2 linked regions of the Sus scrofa genome follow. The protein of the gene in region 2 purifies or fractionates together with the protein of the main gene of each other region. This does not show direct contact. Links are inferred from orthologs where the notes say so. Each region holds a gene or a part of one and is shown on either strand. Other genes may lie near its edges.

What was found.
Region 1: the proteins of ING3 (region 2) and ACTL6A purify together in Homo sapiens (affinity purification with western blotting; 3 studies listed by BioGRID and IntAct, with this or other methods). This does not show direct contact. The link is inferred for Sus scrofa from reciprocal best matches to the Homo sapiens genes ING3 and ACTL6A.

What each region holds. Positions count from the first base shown.
Region 1 is NC_010455.5:117,597,546-117,601,293, forward strand, and holds the start of ACTL6A (actin-like protein 6A), read left to right. Parts: upstream 1-869; 5' UTR 870-1,067; coding exon 1,068-1,092; intron 1,093-3,748.
Region 2 is NC_010460.4:25,974,092-25,977,839, forward strand, and holds the start of ING3 (inhibitor of growth protein 3), read right to left. Parts: upstream 2,409-3,748; 5' UTR 2,274-2,408; coding exon 2,246-2,273; intron 1,993-2,245; coding exon 1,921-1,992; intron 1-1,920. UniProt on the Homo sapiens protein: Component of the NuA4 histone acetyltransferase (HAT) complex which is involved in transcriptional activation of select genes principally by acetylation of nucleosomal histones H4 and H2A.

The DNA of each region.
Region 1 (3,748 bases), on a different chromosome or scaffold from region 2:
TTAAGATAAGAGGTACCTATATGTCTAGACTCTAGGCAGACCAAGAACCATGAAGACATACAACTGATCTTAAGAATTTTAGCTGGAGCGACATGACCATGCTTTGGGTATTTTCATAAATCAAGCCGCCTGCAAAATGGCTAAAAGGGCAAGGCGACAAGTTATTGTAGTAATCCAGAGGAGCGACAACGGTGATCTGTACCAGTAGAAATAGACAGGTTGGAGATGTATTTAGGATTAGGTGATCGCTTGGAGGAGGATTGACTATATTGCTTTACACCTGGCTCAGAGGATAAAAGAAATTTATGACACTTTGAAAAACAACTTGTAAAGTGCTACCTAAATTTAGCGGGATACTGTATCATTCCCTTCTTTCAACTATTCATAACCATTTAAAAAACTTCACGGTCCTATCGGTTTGTCCGATTTACAGATTCTCCCTACCCCAAACTGGCGCATGGCACGTTAATATTTTCAACATAAATTCGTTGAAAATAGCTTTAAAAAAATTCTTCATTCACCAATATCCAAAGCCGTCGGAACTATCGCATGGAGAGGATTCCAGACCCCCTTCTAGAGGTTTATCTGGATTTGCCGGATTCCCACCGCTCCTCCACGCGCAGCCTCACCCCCTGGTCCGGCCCCATACTCTTGCCGACAGCCTGCCTCCTCCCTCTCCCGCTCCCTCCGCCCCACTCTCGGGCCCTTTCGGGAAGCTCCGCCCCCCCCAGTTCCGCAACTCAACTCCTCTCCTTCCGTCGCTTTCCATTCTCCCCGCCCCCATGGCTGTTTTCAATTGGCTAAACTGGCTGTGCCGCGACGGGGAGCGCGGCAGAGCCTCGTTCTTATTGGTTGAAATATAGCCGGGCCTCTTGTGATTGGCTGCTAAGGGGAGCCAGCAAGTGTGACTGCGCTCCGGGGTGTGTGGACGCCGCTTTGTTGCCTGAGGGGGGTGGCGGTGGAAGTTAAGAGGGTCGGGGGCTAGAGCGTCTCCGGATCTGTAGTCGCGGCGGTTGCGGTCGCTTCGCCTGGTGTCCTTTAGCGTAGGAGTCGCGTCAACAGCAGCCATGAGCGGCGGGGTGTACGGGGGAGGTGAGTGAGTGCGGCTGCTCGAGAGCGCGCCTTTTTAGCGTGTGGGGTTCGTAACCGCCGCCCCCAGCCCTCCCCTCCCCTCCCCTCCCCGGCGGCCCTTCCGGTCTCCCCCTCTCGGGACCCCGGCCTCCCCGCCCCATCCCCGCCCCGCGCTTTGCCCGCCCCCGGAGCCCACCCGGCTCCACGATCGCCCCGGGCGCCCGGAGTCGCCGCCCCCTGGGGCCTCTTCCAGTTTCCGCCCGCCGGGGAACCGGTTTTTGGGGGTGCACGCCGCCCCGGGGCTGGGCGGACAGCTCCCCTCGGGGGCCCGGCCCGGCGAGCCGCGACTGGATTGGCCGGCTCAGGGGCTCTTCTCAGGCAGTCGGCTCTGTTGGGGTGTGCGTGCTTGCGTGTTTAAACTTGGGAGGTCCCGGCAGTTAGCTAGTGTGGACCGCGGGTTTTCGCGGCGTCGGGGAGATGGCAAAGCGAGCCGCGAGGGTTGGAACTGATTGGAGGAGTGGCGGCCACTCCGGACGCAGCCTCCTCTCCGTCCGCGCTCCGCACTCATGCTGCCTCACCTTTCAATAACTCCTGCATATATGTTGACTGTGGATTCTCCAGAGTTATTCGTGGGCGGGTCTGCTCAGGGTTAGTATAGAGATATGGGTAATTTAAGAATGAGTGGGGTGCGCGGTATAGTGAAAGATTTCCGCGGGCTGGGGCTTACATCCACCTGGGTTGTAATATCAGCCTCACTTTTTATTAAACTCTTTGCCTTGGGCAAGTTGTTTAACTTTTCCCAACTTCAGACGATTCGTTTGTGGAATGAAAATTCCTACCCATTGGGATGATTGTGAAGGTTAAGGGGGGGTAATGCTACACTTGCTACTCAAAGTATGAGCCAAAGATCAATAGCATCAGCTTCACTTGTAAGCTCTTTAGAAAATACTGAATTAGAGCCTCCGTTTTTTTGCAAGATACCTAGGTGAAGCACTGAGTTATATGATTTCCTAACCCAAAATGTTGGTCTTGTTGTTGTGTTTAGTAAGGATATTGTTTCTGAAGAGGTTTTATAGGTAGGATATGAAAATAAGGTTTTTAAAGTTCTTAGTAGTTTTGAAATGAAGCTTGAGTCTCAGGTGACACACTGACCCTCACCCCCTCCTTCCCTGTATATGTTCTTAGTTTTAATTTCTCAAATGTGAGAGTTAGTAGTTTCCCATTTTTACTTTGAAGAAAGCCTAGTGGATCTTCATGATTTACTTCTCTCCCATCTGAAGATGCAGTCCTGACAGAAAAACTGGATCTATGTGCCTTTGCCTCATGAAGGCTACTGACTGTATTGACTTTCAGGTTCACTGATCCAAGGACCTAAAGGCTACCCACTGAGTAATTCCTTACAAGGCATTGTTTAATGTGATTAAGGTAGAAATAGATACCAATAATGCGAACGTTAACATTTATTGAGTGCATGCTGTGTACCAAGAACTGTTCCAGAGGCTTGCTGTTGCATTTAACACATGCATGAACTTAATCAACAACAACCGTGGGGGATGGTACTGCTTATCCCTGTATTATTAAAGAGGAAAATGAGGTTTAGAAAAGATTAAGTAGCTAGCCTAGAGTTACCTAACTTTCTAGTAAATGGGAAATAGGAACCTCTGGGATAAAGAAAAGGCATTTCAGTAAAACCCTTTCCCACTTAAAAAAAAAAAAAAAAAAGGTTTTTGGTTGTTTCTCCATAAGCCGTTCTTCAAGTATATAACCACAGCATATTCATATATGATTTAGATATTCACAATAAATATCCTATGTCTCATTTGCTTATGTAGAGGAATATATCTTAAAGTCTACTTCATATATAAAGTATTTAAAACTCACAAAAATGCATGGTTATAAAGTATTTAAAACTCACAAAAGTGCATGGTTTTGTGTTTGAGCTGCTACTGTATGGGAGTATTTATAGTCAGTCACATTTTCCAAAGGGTTTACTCTGAAAGGCAACCAAACCTCCCACCCAAGTTTTATGTAATTAACTTAATAAAGTGTATTTTTTTTTTTTTTTTTGTTCTTTCTAGGGCCACATCTATGATATATGGAAGTTCCCTAGGGGATGAATCTAAGCTGCAGCTGCCAGCCTGCTCTACAGCCACAGCAATGTCAGATCTGAGCCACATCCGTGACCTGCTTTGCAGCTTGCAGCAATGCCGAATCTTAACCCACTGAGCAAGGCCAGGGATTGAACCCACATCCTCATGGATAGTAGTCTGGATCTTAACCTGCTGAACCACAACAAGAACTCCAGTAAACTGTATTTTTTAACTTAGCTTGCTTATTAAAAAGATATTTGTAGTTTGTTTTAAGTTTTGTAGCTGTCTTATTCCAGTAGTTATTTCCAATCAGGACTGGCACTTAATCTTTAGCTTTAGGTATAATACATAATTCATCTGGATTGCCATACTTTCTGTAATTCGTTTTTGGGCCTCCTCATTGCTCCTGTGATCACCTTTTATGGTACTCTTTTGCTTCATACTCCTTTGTGTGCCAAAAATAAATAGGTATACTACCAGCCCATCTTTGATAAATTTTATCACTCTTGGGCTCCCCTCACCCCCAATCTCTAATCTTAAAAGTTTCTCAAAATCATCTTCCCCATGAATTGGAGCTCTCTCATCCA
Region 2 (3,748 bases):
AGCTATTAACTTTAAACAATTATTATACAAATTCAAGTTTAAAAAAAACTCTAACTTACATATTCAAGTCCAGATTACTAAAGAACTTAAAAATTTGTAATCATGAAAAAGTATAATAGCTACCTTTTATTGAATGCTCACTTTGTATCAGGTACTATATGCTCTAATTTATCTCTATTATTTTTAATCTTCATGATGATTCTCATTTTACAGACAATAAATCCCGGAGAAGTGGCAATGTGGTCAAGGTCAATGAGTAAGTTTCTAAAGCTCTAAAATAAACTCAGATTTGCTGGACAACAAAATCCATGCTCAAGCCTATACAAAACACTTCTCTAGCAAATCTTTAGCATTTCAAATACATTAAAGTTAAAATGAATTTTGTGAGCAAGCTGGAGAAACACACAACTCAGATTTCCACACTACAATCCACTGAACAGAAGGTGGCTTCCAAGACATATTACCTTGTTTCATGCACCACACGAAACTGGCAGGAGGCTGAGAAAAGAATATTTGTGAACAATGGGTATGGAAGTATGTGTGGTGCTGGTGGGGCAGAGAAGGGAGGCGGGAGGTGGGGGATGGGGGCTACCTCAAGACTACCACACTCTGAAAGGTTCTATTCTCTGATCTCTTTCCATGATACTCTTTTCCTCCTTATCACATCCCCAAACCCAGATGTTCCCCCCAGCCTTACTTCTCTGAGAAGAAAATCTGTCAGCACAAGAAATATCCTATGCATAGTCTAAACATGGGATACATGTGATCAGGAAACATCTTCTGTTGATATACCCTATTAGACTTCCCCTGTGGCCTACAGCATAACTAATGGCATTATCTCTGCAGATATACCCTATGAAGGCCAGCCATTAATATTATTTAAGCAATTAAACAGTACTTACGTTTCTCCAAACAAGAGTGACAGACAGCCAACAAAGTACACTTGATTAAACATTTTAATTATGGATCACATTATTCACATTCTTAATTTTTAATATAGGATTTCTACAAGACAGTGGTAACAGCTATATTCGTTTCACAAAGGGGAAAGGTGTGTGAGGTTCTTTCAGAGCATGATGAGTGTACACTTGGCACTCAACACTGTTTTCTTGTTTTGAAGTGTAATTTTCCTGTACTTATCTTTTTATTCTTTATAAAGGTATTTATTCTTTATCTTCTCTGAATCGTAAACTCTTTAAAAGAAACTTCACAGAAAAAAAATGATCCTATAAACTAAATACTGCTCTATGAAAGGGCCAAGTTATTTTTGGGAAAAAGTCTTCGGATTAACAAAGTATAACTGAAAGACCAAAAGCCAAAGTTTTTGTTACAGTAGACAAGCAGCTTTACAGTAAAATCCAATTTCCTTTCTCATGTTTGATTGAGAAACTATCATGCTGTTGACAATTGAGAATGTATCCTATAATGTGTAACTTTTCAAATTGGACATTCTAAGTTCACCAGGGTCTCTAAAGAACTACATATAACCTGTGCTTCCATATGCATTTCCTCTCTTGAATTTTGACTAGAATGAATTTTAACAAATACATAAATGCCGCTATGTTCTATACGTGAAGTCTCAAGTCAAAGTCTTCGCAACATTGATGCCAACGTTCACTAAAACATATGTCTACATTCTTAATGAAGGTACAGAAACTTTTATTGTACAGTCTCAAATTCGAAAAAAAAAAAAAGGTGCACATGTGCTCTGATGCCACCTTCTTTTGTAAAAGCCAGAAGAAAAGTAGCGTGGGAAACAGAAGAGCCAAGATTCGGCATTGCCGGTTCTTTTTGACAACTCCTTATGATGTACTAGCGAGGGAGCCGGAGGAGAGTCAAACAGCAGAGGTGCTGGCGTCGATGGCAAGTAAGTCTGGCACTGAACGCGCGCAGCGAACAAGGGCAAACGCGCCGACTTACTCTGCACCTGCAGATCCATCTCGCGCATCTCCGTGAAGCGGTCCCTCAGGTCCATTGGCAGCTGCTCAATCACTGTCAATGGGAAAGTCAGTCAGAAGGGCGGGGCCAACGGCGAAAGTACGCGCCGACGTCGCTGCGTGCGTGCGTGCGTGCGTGCGTGGGGGGGGCGCGAGGGAGCCGGCAGCCCACAACGAGGCTGCCAGTTACCGTGAGAAAGAAACATCCCCCGCCTCCCCCTCCCTCCCGCCAGCCCGCCAGCCCGTCCACTCCTGCTCTCGCCCGCCCTCAGGTCCCCCAGTCGGGCCCGCCGGCGCCGCCCACTCACTTTCTAGATAGTCCTCTAGGTACAACATCGCGGCCCTTAGAGCTGGGGGAGCGAGGGGGTCCAGGGGTTTATTTGTGTCACTCGCTGTCGCCGGAGTTTTGTCCCTTCCAATATGGCGCCTCCGCTAGCAGCACCCGCTCGGCTTCGGCGGAAAAAAAAAAAAAAGAAAAAAAAAAACCCACTTTGGCGCCTGACGGCGCCTGCCTCACTGCCGCCCGGAGTGGTCATTGGCTGGCTGAAGAGGTGACGTAAGCCGAGCGGAGCACGCCCCCGCGCCTTTGTGGGAAGTGTAGTTTTCGTCCCTCCCCAGCAAGAAAGAACACGCTGGTAGTCCTCCCCTTGCAAACTACAAAAACCAGGTGCCATTGCGAACGGTGCGCAGCAGAATCTGAAATGCGGTGCCTCTGTTTATTTGTTGATTTTTGCACGGGTAGTGATGGGAGTTGTATGCGCCTACAGAACACAACTAGGAACAACTTTTCACCTGTTCTTTACTGCCGCAATTCCATGTCCTGGCGTTTATGAGTCATGGATTTCAAGTAGTGTGAGGCAAACGGCAAGGGTTCTAACGCTAGAATAATCGGCAAAGTTCGGGCAATTGGAAGTGTTCAAAACAGAACTCACTGTTGGAATTTATCCTCCGTATCCGCTCCTAAAAATATAAATGGGACATCTGGTTGGCTGACATAGAACTAAAACAGTTTACACTCAGAATATTGAGTGAATTATGTATTTACCATATTAAAAGATGCACAAATGGTTCTCAGTAGCCACTGCATTCTATTTTGCAGTCCATCTAGTCGTTCTAATGTAATTGATCTATATAGCTATACCTGCACCCGAAACATTAATAAGTGAGCAAACAGAAATAACGGGTGGAGCCTTACCATCTAATTGTCTGTCTTAGCAATAACTTAACAATAATTACGTTGAGTAAATAGCCTGTATTTGACGTCTGTAGTCCAGGGCGTTGTCTTTTTCTATCTTCGACTCCTCCCCGCGTCTGTTCAGCTGTGATATATTTAGCCCTTCACTGCTCAGTTTGTTTCCTTTTTTTTAAAAACGTTTGCACTCAGTAGATATTGGGTATTGTTATTTTCCATCTATTTTAATCCTCCACCCCCAGGAAAATGTGTCTTTAGTTCATAATTTAATGTTCTCTTTATATTTTTTAGATTGGAGTTGAAACACTTTGTTTTCTGCTTTTTCTCTCTCCTCTACATTTTCTTATACTTAAAACTTTTCATAGCTGTTCATCAAGATACTTAGCTGTCATATTGACGAATCTCAAAGGAAACTTACCTCAATCCTAATAAGAGTTACCTAGTTTATTTTCTGTACTTTGACCTAAAATCTACCGCATTCAGTCTTCCTTCCACCCTTCCTCCCTCCCTTCTTTCTTCTGGCTGCTTTTGAGATTTCTTTGATATTTTTGCAGTTTTGCAGTAATGAATCTAGGTATGAATTCCTTTATTTCCTCCTTTCCTCCTTCCCTAACTCCTC